4 linked regions of the Drosophila melanogaster genome follow. The protein of the gene in region 2 interacts with the protein of the main gene of each other region in a pairwise test. Each region holds a gene or a part of one and is shown on either strand. Other genes may lie near its edges.

Region 1 (9,028 bases), on a different chromosome or scaffold from region 2:
TAAACGGCGAGCAAAAAAAATGGGACACGAAAATATGCTCAAACTAGGCCACAAAAATTGTCTAAAAATAAAGGAGGAAATGAAAATGAGGTCTTTTGGGTTCGGGAAAGACCCCAGTTTTTTTTTTTTTCGTTTTCAGGGCGTGTACGTACCGGCTCCAAAACGAAAGTGAGGTTAGGAACGTGTGCGGATGCTGCGGCTATTTGAACTGAACTGGATTTATCCGGGATGGCTGGGAAATTCCTATTTGCTGGCTGTAATTATTTGTTTGCTATTTGGCATCACACTCACACACACACGTTACCAGGCATTTCGCGTCGCGATTGCTTCCTTTTTCTAACAAATAACTATTTTATTTTTCCCTTTGAACAGCCTTATGTCGTTTAGTGGGGGAAATGTACCGTTTCCTTCGGCGGAAAGAAGAGAGCAGCACTGCTCGAAATGCGAAATGTGACTGAGGCAGAAAGAAGAAGCTTCTGGCGACCGAGCCGCCTGCGATTCTCACCATTAATGCCGCTCTCTCTCACCTCTCACTATGCTTTCTCCTTTCTCCACCCTCTGCGGTAACGGTTGTTCTCCCTTTTTTTCGGTGGTGCGTTAACGGCAATACAAACACGCTCTCTTTCGCTTTCTGGGGGCTGATATTGCTATGATTTTTCCACCACCTTGGCCGTTTTTTCTATTGAATGAAATCCACTTTGGTCTAGTTCTTCTTCCTTTCCACTCCTGTGCTTCTTCTTGCCGCTTTTCCTGCGCCTGCGTTGGACAACTAAAATAGGCGATTGTTGGGCAGCAAACACAGAAACTGATTTCTTGCACTTTCGCACATTTCTGCCGCACAAATATTCAACGAGGCACTCAAATCACTGCTTGCTGCGATTTCAAACAACCGCCAGTGCTGCCACCCTGCTGCTAAAGTAACGTTGCCATTGCGCGGGAAGTTCAAACAAAACCATTGGAGCATGTAAACTGGTTGAAACCTACTTCCTTTTAATACATTAGAGTGGATGGGAATTAAAAGAAATCAATAAACAATTTCAGGTTACGCAAGTCATATTTATTTTTATTTTCTTGAACATTAATCGTATATCGTATATCAATTAAACGTTTTCACAATTTCACAAAAAGAGTTAACATTTTCATTTAATTTATTGCTGTTAATTATTGTATGAAAGCTATGTTTTTCCCACATTTATCTAAGAATATATTTGATTACAGATCTCTATTTTATAGGAATCTTGATGTCACAACCTTCGGCAAACCAAATATTTGGACAATAAGCAAGGTCGCCAGCCGATTGCAGTGCACGCAACATAAATGTGAAAATCAAAACATAAAGGAGACAAAAACAAACCAAAAATGCATTGTCATTTGGGGACGGCGGGGCCTTAAGTTGTCGGATATATGGGTAAAGGGGTGTGGGCTGATGACTGCCCTGCCACTCTGCATATTAATCAACTTTAAAATACATTAAGATAAATGAATAGGGAAACATTCAGGTGGAAATGTTCAATGCTCTTAAGGGGGAAATAATTGATATATCACGAAAACTATAAATGAAAACGGTTAATACGTGCATCTAAGTCATAATACTAAATTAATTAACACATCTAATAACCCATACCGTGTGAAATTAACTTATTATTAAAAATGTTTTAAAAATTATATTTAACTTATGAAAATAAATAAGAAGTAAAGAAAAATTTGCATAATATCTGATTATAATGGTTTTAAGATGTTTTCTTCAAAAAAAATCCAATTAAAATGTTGTAAGCAGCTTGAAGCTTCTCGGATATCCCAAATCCATTATTATTTTAGCTTACCCCTTCAACGGATCTTCAAAAAGGGTATTACCGGAGACAAGCGACTTTAAAACGATAACAAATAGGTGAGACATCGGCAAACAGACAAACAAACAAAAACGAATATGAAATGAAAACCAACGCCAAGCTCATTACTCATGCGCACTGGATGACGTCGTTTTTGTGGCCCAAAGGGGGCTTTTGACCAAACCCCAACTCGATTGCTCCCCAAGATCCCCCATCTTCAGCGCCACTTCTTAGCCTGCTCCACTGCAACCGAGTTGCGATGACGGGGCATTAAAAAATGTGAGCGAGCCATGAAAAATCGCAGCTAGTCGACATGACTAGCGGCTGACTAAGTGGAAGTGCGATTAACTAACAAGAGCCTTTTTGCGGTTTTCTGCTACCGAAGTTGGGTGTTGAAGTTTATTGTAGGGAAATTAAATTAAAGACACGTTGGCAGTCACTTTAGATTGATATGATTGAAAATTGCATGGCTAATGATCCTAATCGATTTGCATGTGGCTTCGGCTGAGATGCTCATAGAGTTGAGGTAAAATGTGCAAAGGCAAATAAAAGTATTTCGTATCAGCATTCAAATGGACAACAATGGGTAATTGACATTCTTTTCTACAGAGAAAAAAAATATATATACCCATGATATTTTACCTTTGACTTAGTTATGATGTTTTAAATATCTGATGAGAAGAATGCAATAAGATTCACAAATGTGTAGCTGATAAATTTTAAATAAAATTTAAATTAGTAAAGGTAAAATTATACCTATTATAGCCCACAAATTACCAAAGGTTTAGTAACAGTCTATTATAGCGGCGGTGCTTTCAACATATATATTACGTATTATGTTAATTCAATAGATTGTATTCGTTGAGGTTCTTCCCTGATAGATCAAAACAACACGATTGTTTGCGTTGTCAGTTTCCAGCTGCGGTTTCCTCTTCCTTATAATTTTTCCCATTCGGCCCTTCTCTCAACATTTTGACCACATATGACCACTTTTCATTTGCGTGTCCCCCAAATTATTGCCAATTTTGACAATTCTTTTTTTCGGTTAGGCGAAGAGTCGTAGCCCTGCACACACCTGTAATTACAGGTGTTCAGGTGTGTGTACACCCGAGACGCTTTGCCTCGGGAGTTTTCGGCTGCTTAGGCCCAATACTCTGGTTTCGGTATTTACCATTTTATGATGTTGGCTTTTTACCAACATCTAGGTCAACTGCAATTGAACCCGTCGGAGGGGAAAGAGCTTAGAAAGCTTGTCTCTGCAAATAGATGAATTAACGTTTAGCTGACAGTTTTGTAATACCCCGCCCACTGATTTGCATTTCGCGCTGAAGTTATCAAGGGGCCATCACTCAATTACCCCCAACAAGTCAGTTTTGCATAATTAGACAATTAATATCGTGATTGGCAACACCTCATGCGATCTACCGGTAATTTTTCTACCTTATAATGCCCTCATTGACACCAAAATCAAATTATCAAAATCAGCAGAATATCGTATGTATCGTATGTATTACCTGGCCGCAATAAATTCGAGATGTCAGCAAAGTTATTCTTGTGCCTGCAAATAAAAGAACAGGAAGCAAGGTAGCAAAGTGAAAATTTCGCAAAATTTGCTGCAATTCAACAGGGGACTTTGTTTTCAAAATTGTTGAATATTTTTTGTGGAGCTCCAGCTAGAGGAAAACTCTTTTTAATTCGCGTATAAATTTTATATGATGTGCACGTGTACATCTTTAAAACACATTAATTTTATCAACGACCATAACATAATAATATTGTTATAGTACTATTATGGTATTGTTAAACATGGCTATAAACTCCAATTAGGGTATTATTTGCTTCAAAAGCGAAAATTTTAAATTGATGTGCAAACGAAGTAAAGCACTGAGCACATAGATATTTTACATAGTTGCACATTTCTACGACTCCATCATAAATATTTATAAGTATGATGATAATTCATTTAACCTGATAACGACTCTATATCCTAAGCTTTAGTTTTATTTGGTTCCTTGGAGTACTTTTACCCCTGTATTTTCGCTCAAGTAGCTAGCCCCCGCTCATTCCAAACCAAATGGTATTGCCAGATCCACTCAACAGATACCACGCACTCGTAATAGATCCAATTTGGAGAGACAGCTTTCTCAGTTACCAAAAAGTCAGACATCGCTGGCCACTCAAAGCTCTCTCAGCCTTCTTTTATGAATATTATTTTCGCTGGGTGCTGAGTTCGCGGCTTTTTGTTTCTCGGGCTGCCTCTTGATTATTTTCTGTTCCGATTTTCATTACGTGCCCCGAAGTCTTGGCGAGCTGAACTCGGAAACGCTGATACTCAGAAACTCAGAAACTGTGAAACTCAGGAACTGGCGAGTGAGTGCTTTTCAGCACTAGCTGCGATCGCATTACTTTCAGAGCCCGCAATCAGTCTTAAGTGAGCGTGCGTCGGCATTGGCAGCAAGTTGGCTAAAAGCGGATCCTCCTCAGTGGCCAACTTATCCCTCGATCTCTCTTTCGCCCCCGACACTATTGGTTAGTTTGCACTTCGCCTTAACATCTGTCCCACCAAGTCGTGCTCCAAAACTTTTAAATCAAGTGCAAAGTGAAACGCCCCACTGGGTGATTGGTGCAATCGATAATAAAAAAAAAAACAAAATAATAATATTAATAATCGCGATTATTGCAAATCGATTGCCAAACAATACAAGCGGAAGTGATGAAATAATTCTGATTGTCTAGAAAAGTGCGAAATAAACCTTAGTAATTTTGTTGGGCTCGGCTTGCGGAAAAACCATTGGAAAAGCTGCTGACTTATCTCTTTGATTTTCACTTAAATGTTTGTTTTCATAGCTTTTCCAGTTTCCTCGCTCTCAGCCGCTCTCTTTGCGTGAGTTAACCATGTGTATGTGTTTCGAGTTGGTTTAGATTTTCGCGACACCGATTGAGTAAGTTTTCCCATGCGGTTTTTCCAGCGCTTGCTGGAAAATTCATGGGCAGCAAAACAAACAAAAATCGTTGTTATGATTATGCGTTGAAGAATTTGTTAAATGCAAGAAGCTCGTATTAATGTTTAGTTTTATTGTCTCTGGATTTGACGCGTGGCTAATTTCTGTCAGGCACTTCTTCCATAATTTATTACGTTTTTTTTTGCGTGCCTGACATCGAATTTTTTAGCCGCAAACCGGTTTGCCAAACTCCTGGAAACACAAATAATTTAGACAATAGTTGTGTAGAATTTCTTAATGGGCATAACAAATAAGCGAGCAAATGTCAACTGTCCAAAATTGTAAGCAAAGTAACAAGCGCAAATGAAGTTCGTTTCTTCAGTCATTTGATTGAAACTCAAGTTTGTTTCTTCATTCTTTTGATTGATGCTATACTGCCAAGTTCGTTTCTGGAATCTTTGGTTTGCCTTTCAATGGAATTCAATTATTGAAATTCCCCACCGAAAAGAGGATCAATCAGCTTGCTTTGTTTCTGTTTATTTTGTGGAACTTTCAATGTTAAGGTCTACACAGCCATTTAATGCTAATGCCCAGCACAAGTGCGACTTGTTCGACGTTTTTTTTTTTTTTTTGTTGATTCGGTCTTTTATGGCGCATTGAATCGAATTCCCCCTTCGCTCCTTCGTCGCCAAAATGTTCATGCCTAGCATAAACAAAACAGAATTATTGTTACACATTTGGTTGCCAAGGCGGAAATCAAATAAAGCAAAAAGGCTGTCAAATAAAATCGAATTGAATGGAATAAAATCATAACAGCACATGAAGAGAAATCAATGGCGCGAACCGAGATGAGAGAGATCTGTTTGTCGTAAAATAGAAAGTGACCAAAATGGATCTTTGCTCATAAACAAAACCTAAAAATTCGTCACAGTTAGAGGATACCCTCGCGTCCAAGCCAAAGTTGCTCAGCTAACTTGCCAAATTTCTTATAATTTGTTCATTAGGGCTTTGCTTGGTTTTTGTTATCGCCTAGGGCTCGAAATGCGATATTTGCCATTTTAGGACTGGTAAAGAAATTTCCAAATATTTAATATGCAGAAACAGTTTGTATATACTACGGCACACACAGAGATACTTACCAATACGGGGGGGAACTAAAGACCCAGCTGGGTTTCAGTCATTTGTCTAAACAGAAATTACGAACAAAGCAAAACGCAGACGTAGCAAAATTATGCAAATCTTAGGGCACATACAGCCACAGCTACATCTGTAAATATTTATATATACTGTTTATCTATATATGTATATATAGTATTGTCCATGTGCTTCTCCATCAAAAATGCAAAATAGGAAATAAGCAATGAGCAAATGCCATAACAACAAGCATTTTTCTAAGTGTCCTATTGCATTTTTTTTAACGGATCCATTTAGATGTGATAAATAAAAAAAAATGTATAAAAATATGAAATTAGCACTTGTATCCTTATCAAATTTGTATTGCTGATGAGAATCATTGACTACAAGAAAAATCTGTGAAACAAATCAATTTTCAAACTATTTCAAGGTAAGGTCTTCTTCAAGGGCCCAAAAAAACTTTATAAGATATATGTTCTCAACAAGTTAGTGGCCCCATTTTATATAAGCCAAGAAAATGTCAAGTTCAACGATCTATTAGCCCTACCACCGACCATCAATAACTCAAGCCGTCAATCTCAAATGCACGATCTTAAAACCTGTTGGCCCAATCTAGCGAAGAACTTTAGGAGACCAAACAAAGGTTTTACCAATCAGCAATGAAAATATGACAAAAATGTTGCTGGGCCACAGCAAAATGGCGATGAATCTCTGTGACTCCGCCGCGTTCGAGGAAACTAAATGCAAATCATTTGGATGGGGGCCAGGCCAAGAGCAACCGAAACCAGTTAACTCTCCGATCAATTCAATGTTGGCCAAGCTGGCGGCATTCTGTCTCTGATCCGGAGAACTTAATTTGCATAATTCTGGGTTTTGGATCGGGCCACATGGCGGATTATTTTCGAAAGCGAAATGCCATTGAACAAAATGTGTTGAGTCAGGAAAAGTCAGTGCGGTTTTTTGGAGGTTGTCCGATCTGTCAGTTGGTCAATTACAAGCGAATCAATTAGCAACCGGGTGTTAGGCAGCGAAAAACACTGACATCGCGCCATTTTAACCACTTTGTATCTGTATCCGAGAGATCTGTTCGATGTTGATGATCCATTGGACTCATATGCATACGAAGACAACGCAGCACGACGATCTCTAGAGATCAACAGAGATTTGACCGTGACCGTGCATTTCGATTGAGCTGAGCTTTTTTTTTTTTGTTTGGCTGGCCAAACTCCGAAAATTAATGGTATTTGTGGGCCTATATAGATCTCCACCTCCTCTAACCAACGACAACTCCACTCGAGATCTCCGCCTGGGCGGCCTTGACACAAATTTGGAATCACACCAAAAATGTCCGAAATTAATCTCTCCTCCAACAAATCGTTACGCATTTCGTTAATTATGTTTTCCACCTGTACTCGATGCTTGGGCAATATGCCGTGTGAGATCTAACTACATTGGTTATACATACCTTGGTTTGATTTCTTTTTTTTAACTTGTCGAGGCTTTTCGGTTTCTTTTTTTTCGGATATACGCGTCATTTGCCATTAATTAGTCGAGCTATTGATGGTCTCGGTTGGAGCGAACAAAAGGCGGCATTGTGAATGGTTGTGCAGTTGGCCGGGAAAGTACAGTTAACAGTGTTGGGCAACGGCCATGGGTCCGATTGTGGCAGTGTGACAAGTTGAAAGTTTGGGGGTATTAATTAACGTAAGCTTAGCCACTCTAATCCACTTGGTGATTAAAGTAAAAGGTTAATGGGCCTTAAGTGTGGGAAAGTTGAAAGGGTTAATTAGCTCTCGAATTTTGTAGTTGGTTTTGTTCCCAGTGCTAGTCAACGTTTCAGTTTAGTGTTGGAATGTAGTGCTGGGATAAGTAAAGGTACATTCTATTACGAGTAATAGAAGTTATCTAAACTATTCCATAAATATGGGAACCCCTACTTTATCACGTCAAAAGCAGCAGTTACACGCGTCAACTTTAATTGCCATTACTAGTCGGAATTAATTACTTGACTTATAAAAAGCACGTTGCTCATTTGCTACATTTTGTCCATAACACTTACTACATCGATTGGTTTGCTGACTGTTGAAATATGTCGGTTTTTTGTAGATTCCCGAGTGGAATTTTCTTACTACAACCCCCAACTATGATTCACTGATTCGTTAATAGAATTCGTTCAACGTCAATTATATTAAATTTTACTATAATATCCCAGAACTCTGCCAGGAGCTCAGCAAGTATTCATTTTCAAATATTAACTCTGGATAAAAAGGCAATTCACAACGCTATAGTAAAATGAGCTCCATTTATGAGCTGCTGGCCCTTAAGAAGTTGCGCCAGGATTCGCCATTAGATTTGCGATGAGATCCCATGTAGGCACTGGGTCCGGCGATGGCGGGCGGCATATCCATCTGGCCGGAGTAATTGAATACGGGAGTAGAGGGACGGCTAGCGGGAGCACGGCTCTTGACGACCATTCGGAAACGGGGCGGTTCCACGGATCGACGCTCCTCCTTCCTCTTGGGCTTCTTCTCTTCCTCCTTCTTGGGCACCAGCCCTGGCATCTGAAGTGGTTGCCCGTTGTCCTGGATCGCGTCGAAGTCCTGTTGCCATAGAGCCACCTGTTTCATGGCAAACTTGTGGTACTGCTTATCGATGCCAGATGGTCGCCGCTTTGGTATCATCACTATAGTCTTGGCTTTCAGTGCATACACAGGTGGGGATATCTGATGGTAGCCGCGTCGTTGGTAATCCCTTGGATATGCAGGCGGAATGCCAACCACCTTCTTGCGCTTCAAATGTGGCTTCACCTCCTCTGTGGTCTCCGACTCCCGGGAGCATGGGCATGTGTGCCACGAATGCCAGTGCTCCGCCTCGCTCTCCTCCTGGCGCTTCCTCAACCAATCGGCAGTGGGACGATTGGAATCGTAAACCACTGTCTGGCTGTCTTGAGCTTCCTCTGAGCTCTCTGTATTGCGTCTTTGGCGCTGGTAGTCCTCCGATTCCCTTTGCATATCCTCCTCAATATACGTTTCCTTTCGCTTAACCGGACGATAGGTAATGCCGGAGGTATTAGTTTCCCTCCTAGATTCCGGACGATTTTGCCATCGACGGCGATTCTGTTCG
Region 2 (5,626 bases):
AGTCGCGATGCATTCGACGAACGCATGATTTCGTCGCGCGGAATGCGCGGTCCATCGCCGCCGGGTCGCAGATATGCGCCCTACTGAGATGAGTTTTACTATCACGGCAGCAGCTGAGTAGCGGTTGCACTACCCATGCCCCTGCCAATGGGTCACACATTCTACCACACGACCAGCAATCGAAGAACGGCGCCTGTGGACTGCTGGCTGCTCTGCTGGTCGCCAGCGGCGGCCTACTACCATCACCACCAAGCACACCAGCAGCACATGCTGATGCCGACGACAATTTCACAACTGTGGCTGCCGCCTTGGTAAACCACATACATGTTACTAAACCCAAACTAACCATTACTCGTACACTTAAACAAGAAGATGGAAATACGTGTTTAAGCATCCTCCCTATATGCAAAACACGCCAAAAAAAAAAAAGAACTAGACAACGACGTGCAACCTCTACACATTCAACCGTAGTACCAATAAACGCATAATCAGTCGAAACTGTGCAAAAATAAACACTGTATTTTAAAGCTAGTTTAAGGGGCAGTATTGCAACGATGTGTCTTAGATCTACGGATGCTCCATAGCCAGCCGTCGTTACGCATGTGAAATCGAGTGCTGGCTGCCGTGCTTGCCCAAAATGGGCTGATCAGGAGACAGATCTTCCGGTGGGCTACCATTGTGCGTGTCCGGTGAGTGGTCGTCCAGCAGCTTGCTACCATTGTGCTTGTTCAGTTCTTTCAGCTCGACAGGTGTGGTCTTTTCGAATGTTGGCGGGATTAGTAATCGACTGAAAAGATAACATGTTATTTATTGTGGGGAACCGCCTTAAAAACGAATAGTATTTCAGCTTACTTGCTGCACTGTAGCCAAAACATGGAGACCAGCATCATGGCCGAAGTAACGCCGAAGGTCCAGAACGTACCTAGGCGCGTGTAGATGGATCCCACGAAGACTGGACCAAGGACGCGGGACAGACAACCCGAACCGGTCATCCAGCCCATCCAGACGCCCTGCGGCCGAGGTCCCAGAACTTTGGAGAATATGGTCTGGATGAGAGTCACCCCAATGGGATATCCTATCGATGTGAAGGCAAATCCAATGATGAACTGCGTTAAGGTCAAGGCCGGCAGTTCGCCGCACCATTTCTGCGTTGTGGGGCAGCCCAAGAAGATGGGATCGCTTTCGCTTAGGTTCCAGCTGGCATTGAATGGCTGCGCCAACTTTGGCGGATCCGGACCCCAAGGCACGAAGAGCACGCGACCGAGAAACATCAGCGAGAATCCGCCCCAGATGAGCACATAACGCTCGGCTATAATCTTGCACATGGGCTCAATCAAAACGAACGTGACCAGGGAGACAATAGCTGCGGTGGTCATCATGATGCCCATGTACCATAGGGCCTCGTCGTTGGACCAAGCGAACATATCCATTGTCAGGGATGTGCCCAGACTGCAAGGCGAGGAAGCAATAGTTTAAAAAAAAAAAAACCCACTCTGAGGATTACTCACGTCTCCAACAGCACAAAGTTGAATACCAGAACAAAGAAGGCGACGATCAAAGTCCATGCGGATAAATAGCTGGGCTTGATGCCTTTCCAAGTCTCCTTCTCGGATGTGCCGCCCTGCATCACCATCACCTCGCGAGCTGCAATTTTGTGCTCCTGAAGGAGTGTTCAAATTTAATGACACTTTAGAGCGAACCAAGTAACCTGGCCACTCACCTCAAACACTCCGGGCAGGAACATCATGAAGTTTCCAATGCTCATCAGCACATTGATCCATCCGGATGCCGTGTACATGTTGAAGTGCATCTTGCCCCACAGCCAGACGTGTCCCTGATCTCCCAGCGGTGTGACTGCCGCCTGCAGAGTTGGACCAATGATGAATCCAAGGACCTGTGCCAGCGAAACCATTGCAACGGCATGTGTGCGTTCGCTGATTCGTGTCGCAGCGGACAAATAGGAGCGGCACAGGGCAATATTCGCCGAGCTGACACCGATGAGGAACCGCGAGGAGAGCATCCAGTACTTCACATTGTCCGGACGCAGTTCCAGCGAGGAGTATATGCCACTGGCCAGCGTGAATAGAGACAGCGATAGCAGCAGTGGCAGACGAATCTTGCCCAGCTTGTTGCCCCACCACCCAAAGATCGGACTGAAGATCATTTGTCCCAGCGGATTGGCGGCCACAATCAGTCCCATAAACTCCTTGCCCGCATCGGGATCTAGCTGAAGAGAGATGAGATTGAAAAGCAGCTGGATAGCGTGACCAAAATGGGTACGCACCTTGTTGAGGTAGGGCCAAATGCCTGTGAGTATGATGCTGAAGCCAAGCGCCATCAGAAACATCGTAAAGTAGATGATGCGGACGGAGCGCCAGCGCTGCTTGTACTCCTCCAGCGTCTCCAGGCCATCGTCCACATCCTCCGGCAGTCTTTTGGTTTCAAAGCGAGCGGAAACTCGGCGGGCAAACTCCATAATTGGTTTGCTTGGCTGTGATGTTTGATGGGTTGGTTGGCTGCGATGGATGTGTGTTTGCTGGATTTCACCGCCACTGAGTCATTCTGTAAATGGATTCGAATGAGTTTTTTTTTTCTTTATGGAGCTTTTTGTGAATCGATGTGTCAGTTGTTAGACACGCTTTTAAAGTCTTGTAACTATTAATGATTCAGAGTAGAGTATGTCTCTAATCGGCGGTGCCTTCAATTACTTGAATATGGATGGAGTGGATTATCTGCCAGACGTCGCGTGATTATCCTCCTCCGAAAAAACCACAGATATGGAAAACAGTTTGCTGAACTTATCACACAAATTGCGGAAGATAAAGGCAATCGGTGCCGAAATAAAGCTGTTTGTAGTTATTCGTTGCCATGTGCGGGTGTCTGTATGTCGTTTTTCTTTAGTAAGAGCCACTATCACTGTGAGTATGCCATTGTTTTTGTTTATATGGCATGATAAGGTTCGTACAGAACGTCAGTTTATTACATGATTTCATTTATCAGAGCAAAAGAAATTGATTCGCCCCAGTACAGGGTACGAAATAAAAACATTTTGTTATAACTTTAGTTTTCGATAGTGCAACAAGTGCAGCGATTAGCCATATCAATCAGACTTGTCCACTTCCTACATCAATCAAATCATCACTGGTTGAAGATCACTCCGTCGCAAATCAATTTCTAATTGATTATACCAATTGCCAATTGATGCAGTTGGTTTTTTTTTTTTCTTTTTTTTTTTAGTTGAGCGCCAGATTCTCGTTCTCGAAGTACCCAAACACACACACACACATCTTTCAGATACAAGATACTAGATATGAGATAGCGACCGTTGATCTTTGGCTGCCTATTGTTTTTTTCGTTAAGCTACTTTGCCTTTGCACTCCTTGCTTTGATTTTCAAATTACTTAGCTTACTAAGTTGTATTTTGTTTTTCGTCACACACTGAAGCAAAACTATGTAAATTAAATGGAAACATGCACTCTTTGTTTTTTTTTAAATTACTCTTTCTTTGTCTCACTCTCGCTCTCCCGCTTCCTCTCACTCGATTTTTGTAATATTTAACCAAACGCAAAGAAAGCGCTTTTCTCCCTCTGCCAATGGCTATATCTGTATCTGTATCTGTATCTGCGTGCATGTATCTTTCTGTGCATCTAGAACTCAAGGGCACCCCCCTACCGCGCGCATCCTATTTGTGGGGCTTCCAGCGGGTAATGCACCTTTTACCAATCGGGCTATGTCTTTTTAACTACCTGTTGCAGCGGAACAGCGACGACCACTGGAGATGAACGAACGCGACGGACTGAACTGAACTGACGCGGCAGCGCCTGTTGCCAACAAATCGGACGACGCGTCGCCACAGAGCGTGATGGAGCTGCCCGAAGAGAGAGAGGAGCCAACGGCAGATAGCACCCGCGCCCGAAAGTATGCTACTTAGATACTCCGAAATCTATGGCATCTGTAAGATAGATCGCAAGGGTTTTCTATTCAGGCAAAATATTCCTAAGCATAGTATAGTAACTTGTTATCAATCCACAATCCATGTAACACCAATACTCCTTCTTCAAATTATCATTATTATACTAGATCATCAGTAGAATAGATGTATCTTTGAGATTCGATTCGAGATCCAATTGAAATAATAGGGAAACTGAAGAATGGAGTTCTATAGAAACCTGTCTAACCTACCAAACTTCTACCTGCGTGTGTGAATACTATAATGACTCATTGGAAAACGATCTTTAAGAACGCCTTCATATTGTTACAGGTACATAAAGATCTTACTACTTCAGATACTTTAATTTCGAACGCTTCTATCTTCGCTGCTACTGCAGAACACTATAATGTGCAAATTTATATTTATTTTTGAGAGACCAAAATGCCTTATAAATATACAACAAATGATTATAATAATAAAAGTGAAAGTAAATTGGGTATGTTGGGTCTACAGATTTCCCTGTGCCTGCTGCAAACGCATCAGTCGCCGCTGCCTCAGCCAGGGCAGCAGGAGTCCACCTGGACGCTGGCCGGGAAGTGGAGCTCGTGGGGCAAGGTCCATTGGGGCAGCCAGGGTGACGGCTTCGGGGATGATCTCATTGCGCCGGAAACCACGGAAGGTGGCGCTAGGCCTGCGTGGCACACGATCCTCAGGCTGGCGATCCTTTTTCTGCGGCACATCCTCGTTTCTAATATTCAGGCTAAAGACATCCCCAGTGCGTGGATCGGAGGACAGATGACTGACCGTATCTTGAAGCACCTTGGGTATCCGCTCCACCACCTGCAAGGCATCGCGGAGTGGCCGAATCTCTCGCTCCGGTTGCTTGCGCGACTGCTCCTTGGACGCCTTGCTCTTGGCGCTCTTTCGGAACAAAGGACTCTTCTTGTTCTTCCGCGAGAGTGCATCCTTCTTAAGTGGAGCGGGGCGAGTCAGTCGCGAAGCTGACTGCTCCAGGAACCATGGTTCCCGACGAGCCGGCTCCTCCAGCTCAGCCTGACGCTTGAATGCCGATGGCTTGGCTGATGCACGCTGCTGCTTCTGGGCTCTAGTGCCCAGTGGCGAGGGACGCACCAAGGAACTGGCAAAGTCATTGAACCACTCCAGGTGATCGACGGACCTCTTGTGCCTTATCTGCTCCGAAGCCTTGGATGGCGTTTCTAAGCCATTGGCCGTACGTTGAATGACCAACTTTGTGGAGGGCTTGTAGATGGTTATGTTTGAGCGACGATTTCGAGGCGACTGCATTGAAGTGCTGGCGCTCCTGGCCACCAGATCTCGCTTCTGCTCGAACTGCTGTGCGTTGCGCACAAAGCGATTGCTGCTCGGTCCCTGGATGACGATTTCGAATGGTAGATTCAACGTCTTGGCATTCATCTGCATGGTGCGAATGCACTCAGTATCGGATTGGTCGTCATTACACTCGCACAGGCACTCCTCGCCGCAGTAGAAGCCCAAACAGCCGCAATGCTCACACAGCGCCTTGCAATTCTTCTCGAGCTTCGACTCCGTCAGGGGATTCACATTGCGACTAGCTTTCGTGGATGTGGCCAATGTCGATGGCGGTTTGGTTGTCGTGCTGGACACTACACTTGCTTGGAACTGAATAGCAGCCAGTAGAAGTATCACCGTATAGCC
Region 3 (8,412 bases), on a different chromosome or scaffold from region 2:
GCAGTGTCCAGTGTCATTGGTCTCTTCCAGTCCAAGCTAATGAACTTCCACTTGGAGGCTGATGACACCTACCAGCCAACCCTCTCCGAACTCACTGAGGTGACCATCAAGAAGCTCAGCCAGAACAAGGAACACGGATACTTTGCGTTCATTGAAGGTGGGTTTTTCACGAAATAATCTTTTTATTAAGTATTTATATTCCGAAATATTTGTAGGTGGTCTAATTGACTATGGCAACCACTACACCAAAGCTGGCTATGCTCTGGATGAGGCCCTGGAATTCGAGAAGGCCATTCAGTTGGCCCGTGACATGACGGACATCGAGGACACTTTAATTGTGGTGACCGCTGATCACGGACACGCCGTCAGCATAGCCGGCTATCCTGGCAGAGGAACACCCATCCTGGGAATCAATCAACATGACACCGACATCAACGGAGTGCAGTACTCGGTTCTGAACTATGCAGCTGGACCCAATCAGTATCTGGATGAGAACGGACAGCGCATTCCTTTGGACGATATCCTTGGCTCGGACGACGCCATCACCCCCAGCTACATTCCCAAGGATCAGGGCGTCCACTCCGGCGAGGACGTGGGCATATTCGCCTCCGGACCTCAGAGTCACCTCTTCACCGGAGTGATGCAGCAGAGCACCATTCCCCATCTGATGGCATATGCTGCGTGCATTGGAAGCGGAAAGCAGGTCTGCGACAACTAAGAAGGCAGAAAAATCTGTTTTCAATGTTCGCCAACAACTTCTTTCTGTAATAAAAATGTAGCACACATAATGAATGTGTGTATGTTTTGAATTAATTAATTAAGATACTAGAATGGGTAGTCTTGAAAAGCCCTATGGAAAACCTGGTCCATGGAAAGAGATTTTAATCAATATTGCCAATGAAGACATAGACAAAATATAACCCCAAAATATAACCTTCAGATCTTTGTAGGCTTGGGTTCAAAAATTAAACTATGGCGAGTGTTGCCATATGCTTTTGAACTGGTAGCCAGCCTATTGGCTGAATTACCCCTTATAACCATAAACCTTAATGACTTAAGGATTGTGTAAATATAAACTGAGATTTTTCGGAGACAGTTAAGCTATCTGAGAATATGGCACGAAAAGACGACAGTTAAGATAACATTTATCTTATATGAGTCTACATTTAGACGCGTGTAAAACGTTTTATGCAATCTGAACTATATCCAATATGTTGAATAATATTTTCGATAATTTCATCAACCAATTCAAAAAGAGAAATTTTGGTTTAGGGTTCTGGGGTTTCGGGCTCTAAGTTGTTGTTCTTTATAGTGTGCAACCATTTCAACAACAACTTGTTCACGCGACACGTTTCCTGTAGATTAGGCTCGTGAGAGTTGGATCATCATGGCCAATATCTTTACGAACGCAAACGTGACTAAACTAATTCAGATAGCTGGAATAAACATTTGCACAGGTGATCTCAGCACTTTAGGGATAATAAGCTCAGCCAAACGAAAGTCGAGTGATCTCATAACCCATTACTATTACAACGGGTAGTGGTTTTATAGAGGGATGGTCATGTCACTTACAGCTGATCTTCCTAGAAGTCGGGAGTACCAGCAGAGATAAGTCCAAGGGGTATAAAGTGGGAATAAACCTAATTTTAGGTATTCCTTGTTTTGAATGCAATAATCCGGTGCAGGGCATATAAGACCTGGAAATTAGACGGGATCGTTGTAGTTCGTTCGGTATCACTGCAGTTGTAAGATGCACATCTCCCAGAGGCGCTGCCTTTATCCGATCTTTCTATTCCTGCTGGCCTTTGTTGGCACAGCACTCGGTAGAGTCCAGGAAGTGCACAATGTGTTGGAGTTGACGGGTCAGAAAGCCAGCAAGCTGAGGTTCTCCACGGACGTGGCCACGGGCAAGTACACTCCGCCGGAGGAGATGGATCCCCAGTTCTGGTACAAGCTCGCCGACGAGGAGATCGCCAAAAGGCTTCAGCTACCACAGCCCAACTCCGACAGGGCCAAAAACGTGATAATGTTCCTCGGGGATGGTATGCCAATTAGCACAGTCACAGCTGCTCGCATCCTGAAAGGACAACGCCAAGGAAACACTGGGGAGGAGTCCTCACTGAGCTTCGAGAAATTCCCCTATTCGGGATTGAGCAGAGTGAGTGTTTGCATAGTACCATAGACCAGTAGTAATGATAGCAAAAACAAACCTTAACCTTTTTCTTTATCATGGTGAAGTTCACAACGTGTGCCAGGACCATAAAATCCCCACATAAGTGCTTTATTCAAACAAAAATATTATCTTTACAGACCTACTGCGCCAACGCCCAGGTTCCCGACTCAGCCTGTACTGCTACCGCTTATCTGTGCGGCGTTAAAACCAACATTATTAATATCGGAGTAAGTGCAGCAGTAAACTTTAACAACTGCACCGCCAGCCAGGATCCCGCGAACCGCCTGACCTCCATTGCGGAATGGGCCCAGAATGCCGGCAAGTCCACGGGATTTGTGACCACCACCACACTGACCCATGCCAGTCCCTCTGGAGCATATGCCAAGACGGCCAATCGAATGTGGCAAAGCGACACGGATGTGACCAGCTATGGAGTGGATGCCAGCACCTGCGTCGACATGGCCACTCAACTGGTGACCCAGACGCCCGGCAAGAACTTCGAGGTCATGTTCGGCGGCGGAATGGGCAAGTTCCTTCCCAAAACCACGAAGGATAGTCACGGGAAATATGGCGAGCGATCCGATGGCGTGAATCTGCTGTCCCGGTGGCAAGGGCTCCACGATAAAGGTGTCTTGGTCACCAATCGCAAGCAGCTGCTTAACTTAGACGTTTCAGCTGCATCCAGCATAATTGGTACCTTCCAATCGGGCTTGATGGACTTTCACATGGACGCTGATCCCACCTATCAGCCCACTCTCTCGGAACTCACCGAGGTGGCCATCAAGAAGCTCAGCCACAATGAAAATGGATACTTTGTGTTCATAGAGGGTAGGTTCTTCTTTGAAAGTATATACCTCTTAAATATATACACTAACAACAAGTTTGAATGCATTTTAGGTGGCCTCATTGACTACGGCAACCACTACACGCAGGCGGGATACGCCTTGGATGAGGCCCTGGAGTTCGAGAAGGCCATTCAGTTGGCTCGTGAAATGACCAACATCAGTGACACGTTGATTGTGGTGACCGCTGATCACGGACATGCCGTCAGCATAGCCGGATATCCTGGAAGGGGTACACCTATCCTTGGACTCAATCAACACGACACAGATATCAACGGAGTGAAATACTCGGTGCTAAACTACGCAGCTGGACCCAATCAGTATCTGGATGAGCATGGCCAGCGCATTCCTTTGGATGATATCCTTGGCCCCGATGACGCCATATCACCAAGCTACATCGATAAAGAAATTGGAGTGCACTCCGGGGAGGACGTGGGTATTTGGGCTTCTGGCCCGCAGAGTCACCTTTTCACCGGAGTGATGCAGCAGAGCACCATTCCCCACCTGATGGCCTACGCCTCATGCGTTGGTAGTGGAAAGCAGGTCTGCGGGAGCTCAGGGCGGAAAACCTGAAAGATACCATGGAATATATTCTACTGTAACTATAGGAGATTTGAAGTAATCCAAAAGACAGCGCATGTCCTTTCTTTAGTATTAGGCTTTCTCACATTTTAATAAACCGTGTACTTATACTAATAATACATTTAAGATTATTCTTCTACCCAAGAGTTATCACGATCTTTTCGGTAATCTTATAGTAATCACAGTTATGGTGGCATTTGGACGCAACCAGTCCCATTAGCTCACCTTGAGTGTGGGATAGGGTCAGTTTGCATGGTTCAAACTCTTGGTGCCGTGCCCACTTTTGGAAGCCACGGGTATGTGCTCGCAGCCCATTGGTCTAGAATTTTGGATGGTAGCTGGGTCTATTGACTCAAAGGCCATAAAATATTCATAAACTCTAAAGACCAAAAGACCATGTAAATATGAAACCATAAAGTGAGATTTTTTGGGCGCGTTTTCACTGCGGGGATTATGCCATGGAGATATGGCTAACTAGATAACAGAGATCTGGAAGGGTTAATAAATAGCCTTTTGCAAGAGTGTGGCAGTAGTTCAATCAGTTGCCCTGAGCGAACCTCATCTTTCTGAAAATGAAGACTTTCGTAGCCATTAGCCTGGTGTTATGCACCCTGGTGGCCACCTCCTTGGCTGCTTCCATAGACAGTAAGTGCAGCAGTTGGACCCTGAATTCTAGAGATATCTCACTGAATTCCCTTTCCAGTGCCCGAGATCCATAATCAGTTCCAGCTGGTGGGAGGATCGGTGAGCACAGCAAAAACCCGCGAAGGAAACCTTATCGACCCAAATGCCATGGCCAAGGGAAAACCCGGACCAGAGGAGGAGAAGAACGCGCAGTTCTGGTACGATCTTGCCTACGAGGAGATCGCCAAGCGCCTGGAACAGCCACAATTGGACAAGAGGAAGGCCAAGAATGTTATCCTGTTCCTCGGCGATGGCATGTCCCTGTCCACGGTGGCAGCCGCCCGCATCCACAAGGGTCAGCTTAAGGGCAATACCGGCGAGGAGGACTCCCTGAGCTTCGAGAAGTTCCCCTACACCGGCCTGAGCAGGGTGAGTGATATGCTCGGGATTTGGATTTGAATGAGATAAGTATTTAAATATATCTTTTCCGTAGACATACTGCTCCAATGCCCAGGTTCCCGACTCCGCCTGCACTGCCACCGCTTACTTGTGCGGTGTGAAGACTAATATCGTGGCTTTGGGAATTACGGCGGCAGTGAGCTTCAACAACTGCAGCGGCAGCGAGGATCCGGCCAATCAGGTGGACTCCATCGCAGCCTGGGCCCAGGCTGCTGGAAAGGCCACTGGCATTGTGACCACCACCACTCTGACCCACGCCAGTCCATCAGGTGCATATGCCAAGACCACCAACCGATTCTTCGAGAGCGACACGGATATTCTGACCTACGGCGAGGGACAGAACGATCCGGCCACCTGCACGGACATTGCCACCCAACTGATTACCCAGGCTCCCGGCAAGAACTTCGATGTGATGCTGGGCGGCGGAATTGGCAAGTTCCTGCCCAACACGATCACGGATCCGTTCAACAAGAAGGGCGAGCGTTCCGACGGAGTAAACCTGCTGTCTCGCTGGCAGGGACTGCATCCCGGCGGTGTTTTAGCCTACAATCGTAACCAGCTGCTGAGCGTGAATGTCTCGAAGATCACCAACCTGATTGGTACCTTCCGCTCGGGAGTGATGAGCTTCAATAAGATGGCCGATCCCAAGGAGGAGCCCACACTGGCGGAAATGACGCGCAAAGCAATCGAGGTGGTCAGCAAACGCGATGGTGGCTACTTTCTGTTCGTCGAGGGTGGACTCATCGATTATGGCAACCACTTCAACTCCCCAACCTATTCGCTCTCAGAGACGCTTCAGTTCGAGCAGGCTGTTCAGGAGGCTCTGGATATAACCGATCCCGAAGAGACCCTGATTGTAGTCACCTCCGATCACGCCCATCCATTGACCATCTCTGGTTATCCTGGCAGAGGAACCCCCATTTTGGGTCTCAATCAGGATGACACCGATGTGAATGGAGTTAAGTACGCCACTCTCAACTATGCAGTGGGAACCAATCAGTATCTGGATGAGCACGGCCAGCGCATCGATCTTACGGATCAAATTGGAGCGGAAGGTAAGTGAATTCTACTTTTGGGCGCCTTGATAAGTGATAAGCGAACCAATCTGCTTTCCTTCTAGACTTCATCCACCCCAGCTACATCCACGGCACTATTGGCGTTCATGCTGGCGATGATGTGGGAATCTTCGCTACTGGTCCGCAAAGTCATCTCTTCACCGGCGTGATGCAGCAGAGCACCATTCCCCACCTGATGGCCTATGCCTCCTGCATTGGCAATGGACCCACTCTCTGTGACAATGAGGACTAGAATTTTAATGAATCTATAATATAGAGTATTTGGAAAGCACCCTGCTCTCACTTTGATTTGATTCTGGGGGAGCACTTTGCAGAAATCAATAATCAAATTGGCCCGACTCCCGTAATTTATTGCACGAGTCTGCCGAATTGACTTCAATTTAAAACGCATCAGCGAAAAGACAGACACTCGCAGATGCAGATACAGATACAAACAAAGATTTAGATAGATTGAGCGATCGCATCGATTTGTTGCCAGTCGATGGCTGTCACTTGTGGGGGGTAAGGAATAAATATGAATTCGCTGAATGTCAGGTTCAAGCATTGGCATTGCCGACACTTGGGGATACGCAGATACACAGATATGCCGTAGATATATAGATGCACAGATGTAGATATATTGACTCCCACACGCATCTGGAGCAGCTCCTTCACTCGCTCTGACTTTGACTTGTAATTGTTTGCTTGTTTATGGGTTTGCGCATTCAACAGAATTTATTTAAATGCGCTTGACATGAAGTGAGTCGAGATGAAGGCGCAGCTCCAGACAATTAAGCTTAATGTTTTCTCGTTTCTTACGCAATTAAGGATCGCTCTGGCCAAGGCGGTGTCCTCGATCCCCAACGACTTCAATAACTCAATTATTCGTCTGCACACACAGAAAATATTCCGATTCGTACATTGAAATATTTAAATTGCCAAAAGAGGAACATATTAAAATGTTTATTGTAGCATTTGTTTAAAGTACTAAAGTAGTGATCTTGTTAGTGAAACTTATATTTTAAAGTAAGTTCATTCCAGCTCATTTTCGCTCGTGCCTTGTCCTTGTTTCGGATTACTTTGAGTCTTTATTTTGGGAATTTTTGTTGTTTAAAAGTTCTGAAAAATTCGCTTGTTCAACGATTGCTGGCTCAGCGAAAAGTGGAAGCCAGGGGTTCGTTTACTTAGTGTTGTGGTCGTAAAACGCAAATCGCTTGTCGGCAGCAGCTTGTCGGCTTTTAAAGTCGCGTCGTTTCCCCATTCGCAGTCCTCAGATCGCAGTTCAGTTTGCAGCTCAGCTTGGTCTGCTAACTTGGCTCAGTCTCAGTTTGGGTTCCAAATCTGTCGCGTGCGGATCAGATCAGTCTTTACAGTTTATGCCCGATTTGACGCTAATTTCAGCTGACTTTTCGTCTGGCTGGCTAATAGTGCGCGAGTTTATCTTTAACGTTTGAATCTCAGTTTCGGCGATTACCAACTGAATTGTGTGTGACAGGTGAGAATTTGTGGTAGATAAACTTACAGATAAACCGAGTCCAGTTCGAATTGCAACGCAGAGCAAGTGTTGAAATTGTAATTGAATGCGTGGCTCGGCGGGAAATCAATATCAGATGGATTGTCTCCGGATTTGCGGTTAACGAACAGACATTCGAGTCGGAAAACAACAACAGGAGGATCTCGTTCTGTGAGCTATATCAGTTGGCACTTGCTAATTTGCTAATTAATCAGACTAAGCAAACAGCCCTATACCGAGATATGACCTTAAATATTTGCTCTACTTTGGCCATTTAAGCCGCGCAATCCGTTTAGATAAAGAGCTAACCCATTTAGCCCAACTATTTCCCCTTTCGCCAGCGCCAGCTGGAAATTTGGACGGCAAACACAAACATTTATCAGAAATCTGAGCAAACTTGCATTTTCCACGGGACGCACCGCTAGAAAGTCTGGAAGATGCTTGTGCCACTTTGGGCCAAGATCGGGTCTGGCCAAAAGCGCTGATGGCGGTTCGTGGGTGCACAGCAGATGGAGATGCATTCACCAGATACGGATGCTAAATCCGCCTGAGTCACGCTATTTATAACAGCAAAAAAAAAAAACAACAAAATAATGAAATCTCCACCGACACGACTGCAATCGATCATCGCAGAGGAAAGCGGTGGGCTTTTGGCACCGAATTTTTACCTAAAAACCAAATAGACAACCTGGGGATTGCGTCTTATTTTCGATGTGCAGCTGGAATTCCTCCGGCGATGTTTACTTTGGGCATTAGCTTTTGCTGCCGTCAGGCGAACATGTTATTCTAGTTCTGTGTATTTTGCTCTACTGACCGTGAACTTGAACAAATGGAAATGCAAATGCAACCCATACAAACAGGCGAATGCACTATCCTTTGGATTTGAAGTTAAGTGCCTGATTCGGTGAGACTGAAGCTAGCGTAACCCCTGAGAAGTGTCAGGTATCAGTGGGCAAAATGTGACGATTCAGCTTTATAATCATGGATATATGTATCTCTATGTAAATATGGCTGGTCTCTAAGGTTAACCAGAATTCGGGCAGGAAGCGAATTGCTCGAGCAATCTGTAACGAAACACCATCAACAATACAAACCAGAGCAGCCAAATATTCAATATTATATAGTATCGCAACTAATCCCATAAATTTGTTAGTTTTCATCTTT
Region 4 (7,124 bases), 4.0 Mb from region 2:
TGGCATCGACATGTGCTAACGTGATTTGTTTAAATTTTCTTGACTTACTCCGTCTGTGAGTTAATTTGTTGTGATACATTCACGTTATATCGTCACATTTCGGTTTGTATTTGTGCATTGGGTTGTGTGAATTATACGCTTTGTTCATTTACATTCCGGTCACATTGTGTGCATATTTATCGAACGCTTTGCGAGGTGATTATTCTGCCAATAGCTACAGATTCCCTGCAGAAGCCAGCTACACTGTCGAAAATAATAAACTAACATAGGATTTGATGAGTGCTTTCGTTATGTTATCTTAATACAGTTTAAATAAAACAATACATTTCCATTTATCACAGATTCATTGAGGAGGAGCCGATTCACGAGCCTGAACTGCTTGTCATCGTGGGAGCCTTGGGTCTTCTGGTGAATGTTATTGGACTTTGTCTGCTTTACGGTAAGACCAAGTAATACAGATAAGAGTAGGCCGTTCTTTAACTTCATCTGCATTGCAGAGCACGGCGGTCACCATGGACACTCACATGGCGGCGGACTCACCCGTAACCACAGCCGCCTCACTGAGTTGGCCAACATGGACGAGGGCGAGGATGAGCAAAACGACTTTGCCTACGAGAAGCAGAAGGAAAAGGCACCGGTCAAGAAATCCAGCCATGGACACAGCCATGATCCCGGCCAGATGAATATGCGCGGCGCCTTCTTGCACGTTTTGAGCGATGCCCTTGGCAGCATCATTGTCGTAATCAGTGCTGTGGTGGTGTGGAAGACGGAGTGGAAGTACCGGTACTACATGGATCCCGCTCTGTCCATCGTTTTGGTTGTTTTGATCCTGCACTCCGTGTGGCCGCTGCTGCGCGAGTCCGCTTTAATTCTGCTCCAAACGGTGCCCACCCACATCCAGGTGGATGCCATTCAGAAGAGGCTTCTGGAGAAAGTTGATGGCGTGCTGGCTGTGCACGAGTTCCATGTGTGGCAACTGGCCGGCGACCGCATCATCGCCTCTGCCCATATTAGGTGAGATTTACTTGTTAAAAGAGTAACTGCCTGTTTAAAAAGAAAAATTAATTCTATAACCATTTATAAATCAAATTAATGCAATCTAATCCATCTCTCGTAAACCTTGTAGGTGCCGTAACCTTTCGGAGTACATGAAGATTGCCGAAAAGGTGAAGGAGTTCTTCCACAACGAGGGTATCCACTCTACCACCATTCAGCCAGAGTTCAGCGAGATCGAAGGCTGCAACATGTCCGATGGCACCTCCAGCATCAACATCAGCGGCTCCGACTGCTGCGCGTTGGATTGTCCTACCACGGAAGAAGGATGTGTCAAGGCCACGTGCTGCCAAAACAACAACAAATTGGTGAGTTCATCTAGTCTAATGGGAACATGTAGAATTGTATAATGAAGTATAAACCTTAATTACAGAACCAACTGCCCTCACCCACCAACTCGCCGTATCTGTGCCGCCAGCGGAATGCCGCCCGACAGGCCGGCGATGTGGAGGCGGGTTCCCTGCTGGAGGCCACGTCCAGTGGCAACCAGGGAGCCACTGGTGGGGCCAGCACAGGAGCGCCCGTGGCTGCGATAGGGGCCACGTCAACGCCGAAGAGCGATTTGGTTTGACGACAGCCACATCAGGCGCAACAACATGTACACTTTGCCACGACCAAAACGGAAACCGCAACCGCAACAACAAAGGCCGCCACAACAGCAGCAGCAACATCAATACGTGATATAATGTACGAGCCACGCGCCAACAACCTAGTGGTCTCCAGCGCACAGGTGGACGTCAATCTCGGCCTGACGGTGACCGCCCAGCGGCGACGGGAGCTTCAGTTGCAGGCCGAACAGCAGTATCAGGAGCAGGTGTCACCACTGAGTACCAGGAATGGCGACGAGGTGGCACTCTAATTAGGAGCCTAGTTTAACGTTAATTGTGCAAACCGCTGCAATGGAGACTGGTCTGCCATGGTGCAGCTTTCGTGTTTTTTTGTATCATTATTTGTTCTTAGTGGAATTTAGGCGTAAATGAGAGTGGGACAAGTTCGGTCGATTGACCATTGAGCTAGTTTAATTAAAGTGAAATCAAAAATGAAAATGAAAATGAAGAACACGATTATCTATTAGTGCGGGAGACACAAAGTTTAAAGGAACATGCTGTTCAGGATGTCATTCATATACTATATAGTATGTTAAACCTATTCGATTGTAGTTAATTGCATTAGTTTAGATCGATAAGTGAGCCCAAACAGCAGAGAATACATATGTACTACGTTTTTTACATTTTGAGAAAGTTTATACATACGTGAAATAAATTATTGTATTCAATAGTTACCCACGGATTAGCAAATGACTAAAGACAGTTTACAAAATACATAGGTATACACGCATTTGTGTTTGTGTATGGTTAGACATAGTCCCTAAATCTTAGTAGTTGTAATGCTATATGTAAATGTTTTTACCACAACCGAGAACCTAGTTTCTATTTAATTTTAATCGTATCGAACTTTATAATGACTATACATTTAATGCAAACATCATGTATTATTTTATGATCTGCATTAATTTTCAGATGTATATGTTTGTAAATAAACGCCAAACATAATTAGACCAAGCGAACTAACTGTATACAATTTGATAAAATGCCTCTTTGGAGTCGAAATTTTCGATACAATCAGGGGTCACTGGTACTTCCTGATTCCCTGATTCATTTTATCGATTGCAGCAATGGGCAAGATTGCGAGCTCTGCCTCGAGTTTCTTGGAAGCTTATCGAATTCAGATAGGAGCACATGTGTGACATCAAAGTTGAGGCACCTAGCCACTGAGCAAATGCATCACAAAAGATTTTGAAACGTGCTAAAAAAGATTATTGGAAATGCATGGAGGTGGTGTAGTCCTATATAAGCGTCCCCACAAGCTGTCGATACCAAACGTCTTCGAGAACTCAAGTAAAGTACCAGACTCGTTCGGAACATCAGTTGCAATGGTGCAGATCAAATTCCTTTTCGTCTTCCTGGCTGTGATGACAATTGTTGTCCTGGCCGCCAATATGGCTGATGCCGATTGCCTTTCCGGCAAATACAAGGGTCCCTGCGCCGTCTGGGACAACGAGATGTGCCGACGTATTTGCAAGGAGGAGGGACATATCAGTGGCCACTGCAGTCCCAGCCTGAAGTGCTGGTGCGAAGGATGCTGAATCCATACTATATCCATTTGAAATGTGTATATTGAATATTTCATTCTAAACAAATAATATATAAATATAAAGGCCTCTTACGCTTATCACTCATACGCACTGTTGTCTTTTAATTTCCTGTATGGCAATGTGTTAGGAGAAGTGAATGTTTACATACATCATTAAATCGAAAAGATAGCAATTCTAGGTAAATAACTTATTATGATAACGATGCATTTTTAAATCAATGAAGTTGACACATGGCACACATAAATCAAGTGTTTCTGGAAAACTAGGATTATATCGGTTATTGTTAGCTTGAATTTCCGAGAAGCTTATCGATTGCTACGATCAAATAAAAAATCTTAAAATCTGTATCTCTATATAAGCGTCCCCACGAGTGGTCGATGCCAAAAGTCTTTAAGAACTCAAGTAAAATTCCCGACTCGTTGAAAACATCAGTTGTCATGGTGCAGATGATATTCCTGTTTGCTATCCTTGCTGTAATGACCATTGTCCTAATGGAGGCCAACACTGTTTTGGCACGTGATTGCCTATCTGGAACTTTCGGAGGTCCTTGCTGGGCCTGGAGTGGAGAAAAGTGCCGCCGTCTCTGCATTGAGGAGGGACATGTCAGTGGACACTGCAGTGGCGCAATGAAGTGCTGGTGCGAAGGATGCTAGATCCACTGCAGTTCAAAAGTGCATGCTGTTTTTTTGTTTATTCTGAGCCAATAATAAATATACTGTACACCGCACAGTAAAAGGCACGTAAGCATTGCCTTTCAGGAGTTATCTCTTGATTTGATTTAATATGTATGTGGTAAGTATATTAAACAAAAAGGTGCATCAACATCAAGAAGGTATAGCAATTCTATCATCCCAAAATAGCGATGCGCGTTTTGTCGCGTAAAAGGCCCAAAAGTATGCCTTTCGAAAGTTATATTGCAGTTATTTGCATTTTCACCTTTATGCTAATCGGTTAATATACAAATTCTGTACCTATATAAGAGTGCAGTCGGACTCAAGAAACTCAAAAGTAAAGATTTTAACCAGAAGAACATTCTAATAATGGCTCAAATTAAAGGATTGTTTGCTCTCCTCGCTGTGGTGACCATTGTCCTAATGGTGGCCAACTCGGCTTCGGCCGTGGATTGCCCATCTGGAAGATTCAGTGGTCCTTGCTGGGCCTGGGATGGAGAGCAGTGCCGTCGCCTCTGCAGGGAGGAAGGACGTGTCAGTGGACACTGCAGTGCCAGTCTGAAGTGCTGGTGCGAACAATGCTGAGGATCCTCATCGTCCAATATGTTTGACACATATGTGTGTCATATGTTTTTTATTGTTTTGAAAAGAAAAATAAAGAATATACTTCACAGCAAATAATACAGTTTTATTTCTACTTAAAGAACGAATCCTTTTAAAATCATAAATTTACTTCGAAAATGAGATTTATAATGGAATGGAAGAAATAATTAAATGATAAATAATCAGAGTTAACTTCAATAGAAAGCTAAAATTCATTTAGAAAGAAGTGGAATATATAATTCAACTCATAATAAGCATTTAAGAAAAAAAAAGCATAGACTATTTCAGTCTTAACAAGAGTTGGAAAGGCCATTTTCATTTATGAACACAAATCTTCATTTACCAGCACCCATATCACTTTATGGGAAATAAAGATAATCTTGTCATGTTAATATTTCCAACAAATTATCAACCGTGTTACATCGAAAAGTGCAAGTTTGGTGTTTGAATCCGGTTCTGGGTTTTCCTAACAAACTCGACAGTTTTACAATTTATGAATAAATTTAATTAATGAAACTGGTTTAATTAGTTTCCTAGAAGTCTCGTGATAAATGGCACATTGCATAAAATCAATGTCGGCAGATTATTAATAAGCCATTTTTAATTTTCCATTAGAAAAACTACGCATTCTTACTCAACTGCTAACTGAGAAGATGGCAGTGAAACTTTTTAAAAAGAAAACGAAATTTCATGCGACTTTTCTTAGACACTTACCGTAATGATCATTATCTCGAAAGAGAATACTTTTTGAAGTCAGTTTTCGTTGTCTTATCAGCCCTAAAGTATGCCCTTCCATGAAATACAATTCAATAATTATCTCCAATTATCTGCCAATCAATTCCAGAAATACGACGAAGCTGGCAGAGAGATCCCGATCCCTATATAAAGCGGTTGCTGGGGGTTTGGACTCATAAATCAAGTTCGAATTGTTCCGACAGCAGCACTCTGATTCAAAACCGACAACATGCAGATCAAGTTCCTGTACCTCTTCCTGGCTGTGATGACCATCTTCATCCTGGGCGCCAAGGAAGCCGATGCCGACTGTCTCTCTGGAAGATACGGAGGACCCTGCGCCGTCTGGGACAACGAGACCTGTCGTCGGGTGTGCAAGGAGGAAGGACGATCCAGTGGCCACTGCAGTCCCAGTCTGAAGTGCTGGTGCGAGGGATGCTAGGCCATCCTTCAAGGCGCGTTGCTCTAAATTGCCGGAAAACTACTAAATGTTATAGTTTGTTGATAACTATAAATAAATATTAAATATATTATTGCAACGCAAATGATTATTTCGTACTGGTTCAACTGTGATACTAACTATGTGATACTAAGGTATTTAAATGTACGTACAAAGGACGGATAAGGATTGTTCCTTAAAAATGTTAATATTAACTGATGACGTACTCGAAAAGGTTTTCTTCTATTCTTATTCATTACAAAATATATGAATAAGTACATATAAATATATTCTCAATTAAAACTAGCTAACACCTTAATTCTCTGACTTAGTCTGTGAAGTATTGAAAATTTAACGATATTTTAAAATAATTTGTTTTTATTCAGATTGTAACATGCTTCAAATACTGCTTAAGTTATTCTATTTATAGGATGAATAATTGCAGAAAATAGAGCGCTGCGTACAGCGATACTATATGATGTAATCTGGATTATTTATCTCTCAAGAATGCTTACTGAAACTGTGGAAGTAGCTTGCAGGACAGCATGCATTACATAGATAGGTAAAACGCAGAATACTAAAATAATTAAATCTCTGGTTAGACTAGGAACTTCTGGGAAACCCAAGGGCGTGCACTTAATACAGATGTCACTCATCCATATTCCATAGTCTATTATTAAAGCAATTGCTTCAATTTATTTGCGTTAGATAGGGTCAAATATATTCAATGTATGCTCATGCGAATGTTTAATTGTTATCTACGAAACGGGTTTTAGTCGCTGACGATAAATAATCTTTAACTAAATTTATTTTTAGTCTGAGTAAAACACAACCAAGCCAAAAAACTCACCCTGTTAATTTAACTCCATTATCTTTCAATTGAAAAACCTTTGCCTTAAGTTGATAACAATTTATTTAAAAAGCCATTCATAGGACCAAAAGAAAGTCCCCTAAAAATTACACAAATTTAAAAGTGCTATGGTTTTAAACACAAAAAGTATAATTTATTAAAACGCTACTTACAAACTAACAGATATAACATGATACAAAAGATTAACATCAATGGCTTGGAATGAGTTTACAAAGTTATAAAAATAAGCGTGCAATGGTTTAGCGATCAGTGAAGTGCTCCTCGACGTCGCCGCTACCCAGTCGTGGCGGCAACTGTTCTGAGAAGCGCAGCTGGCGCTATAAGTTCCCATCCAGGTTCTCCTCGGTGTTCTCCTCCACGATGGCCTCGTCCCAGGGCCCGTGAATGTTGAACTTGTACTGCTGCTGCCACACGAATATGAACGGGCAGACAAAGTTGATGAAAATGGTGGTGGAGGCGTAGAGATAGAGCACCGGGCGCGATATACAGTACAGCGCCATACAGCATATTGCAAATATAGGCAACATGAATCCAGCATGCCAATTCGCTTCCGTCATTATGGGATAAAGGACGAAAAAGACGGCAGCCTCGACAAGGAGC

The links.
Region 1: the proteins of Cln7 (region 2) and CG8303 interact in a two-hybrid assay, tested with the Drosophila melanogaster proteins (one large-scale study listed by BioGRID).
Region 3: the proteins of Cln7 (region 2) and Alp7 interact in a two-hybrid assay, tested with the Drosophila melanogaster proteins (one large-scale study listed by BioGRID).
Region 4: the proteins of Cln7 (region 2) and Drsl3 interact in a two-hybrid assay, tested with the Drosophila melanogaster proteins (one large-scale study listed by BioGRID).

The regions. Positions count from the first base shown.
Region 1 is NT_033778.4:16,599,459-16,608,486, reverse strand, and holds the start of CG8303 (uncharacterized protein), read left to right. Parts: upstream 1-4,113; 5' UTR 4,114-4,199; intron 4,200-4,248; exon of another isoform or gene 4,249-4,358; intron 4,359-8,075; exon of another isoform or gene 8,076-8,208; coding exon of another isoform or gene 8,209-9,028. Other genes in the region: CG5089 (uncharacterized protein), read right to left, coding at 8,209-9,028. UniProt on the Drosophila melanogaster protein: Catalyzes the reduction of C16 or C18 fatty acyl-CoA to fatty alcohols.
Region 2 is NT_037436.4:7,341,384-7,347,009, forward strand, and holds Cln7 (Cln7), read right to left. Parts: upstream 3,801-5,626; 5' UTR 3,747-3,800; intron 3,002-3,746; exon of another isoform or gene 2,709-3,001; intron 2,563-2,708; 5' UTR 2,477-2,562; coding exon 2,285-2,476; intron 2,228-2,284; coding exon 1,721-2,227; intron 1,661-1,720; coding exon 1,509-1,660; intron 1,450-1,508; coding exon 853-1,449; intron 788-852; coding exon 595-787; 3' UTR 501-594; downstream 1-500. Other genes in the region: lark, read left to right, coding at 1-87; CG14834 (uncharacterized protein), read right to left, coding at 4,439-5,626.
Region 3 is NT_033778.4:22,201,308-22,209,719, reverse strand, and holds Alp7 (alkaline phosphatase 7), read left to right. Parts: upstream 1-4,126; 5' UTR 4,127-4,169; coding exon 4,170-4,242; intron 4,243-4,300; coding exon 4,301-4,650; intron 4,651-4,714; coding exon 4,715-5,735; intron 5,736-5,800; coding exon 5,801-5,988; 3' UTR 5,989-6,026; downstream 6,027-8,412. Other genes in the region: Alp8 (alkaline phosphatase 8), read left to right, coding at 1-157, 216-718; Alp2 (alkaline phosphatase 2), read left to right, coding at 1,751-2,158, 2,311-3,001, 3,071-3,588.
Region 4 is NT_037436.4:3,311,389-3,318,512, forward strand, and holds Drsl3 (Drosomycin-like 3), read left to right. Parts: upstream 1-3,607; 5' UTR 3,608-3,645; coding exon 3,646-3,861; 3' UTR 3,862-3,967; downstream 3,968-7,124. Other genes in the region: ZnT63C (zinc transporter 63C), read left to right, coding at 342-439, 498-1,014, 1,127-1,361, 1,427-1,624; Drsl2 (Drosomycin-like 2), read left to right, coding at 2,987-3,199; Drsl4 (Drosomycin-like 4), read left to right, coding at 4,249-4,464; Drsl5 (Drosomycin-like 5), read left to right, coding at 5,447-5,656; PIG-C (phosphatidylinositol glycan anchor biosynthesis class C), read right to left, coding at 6,842-7,124.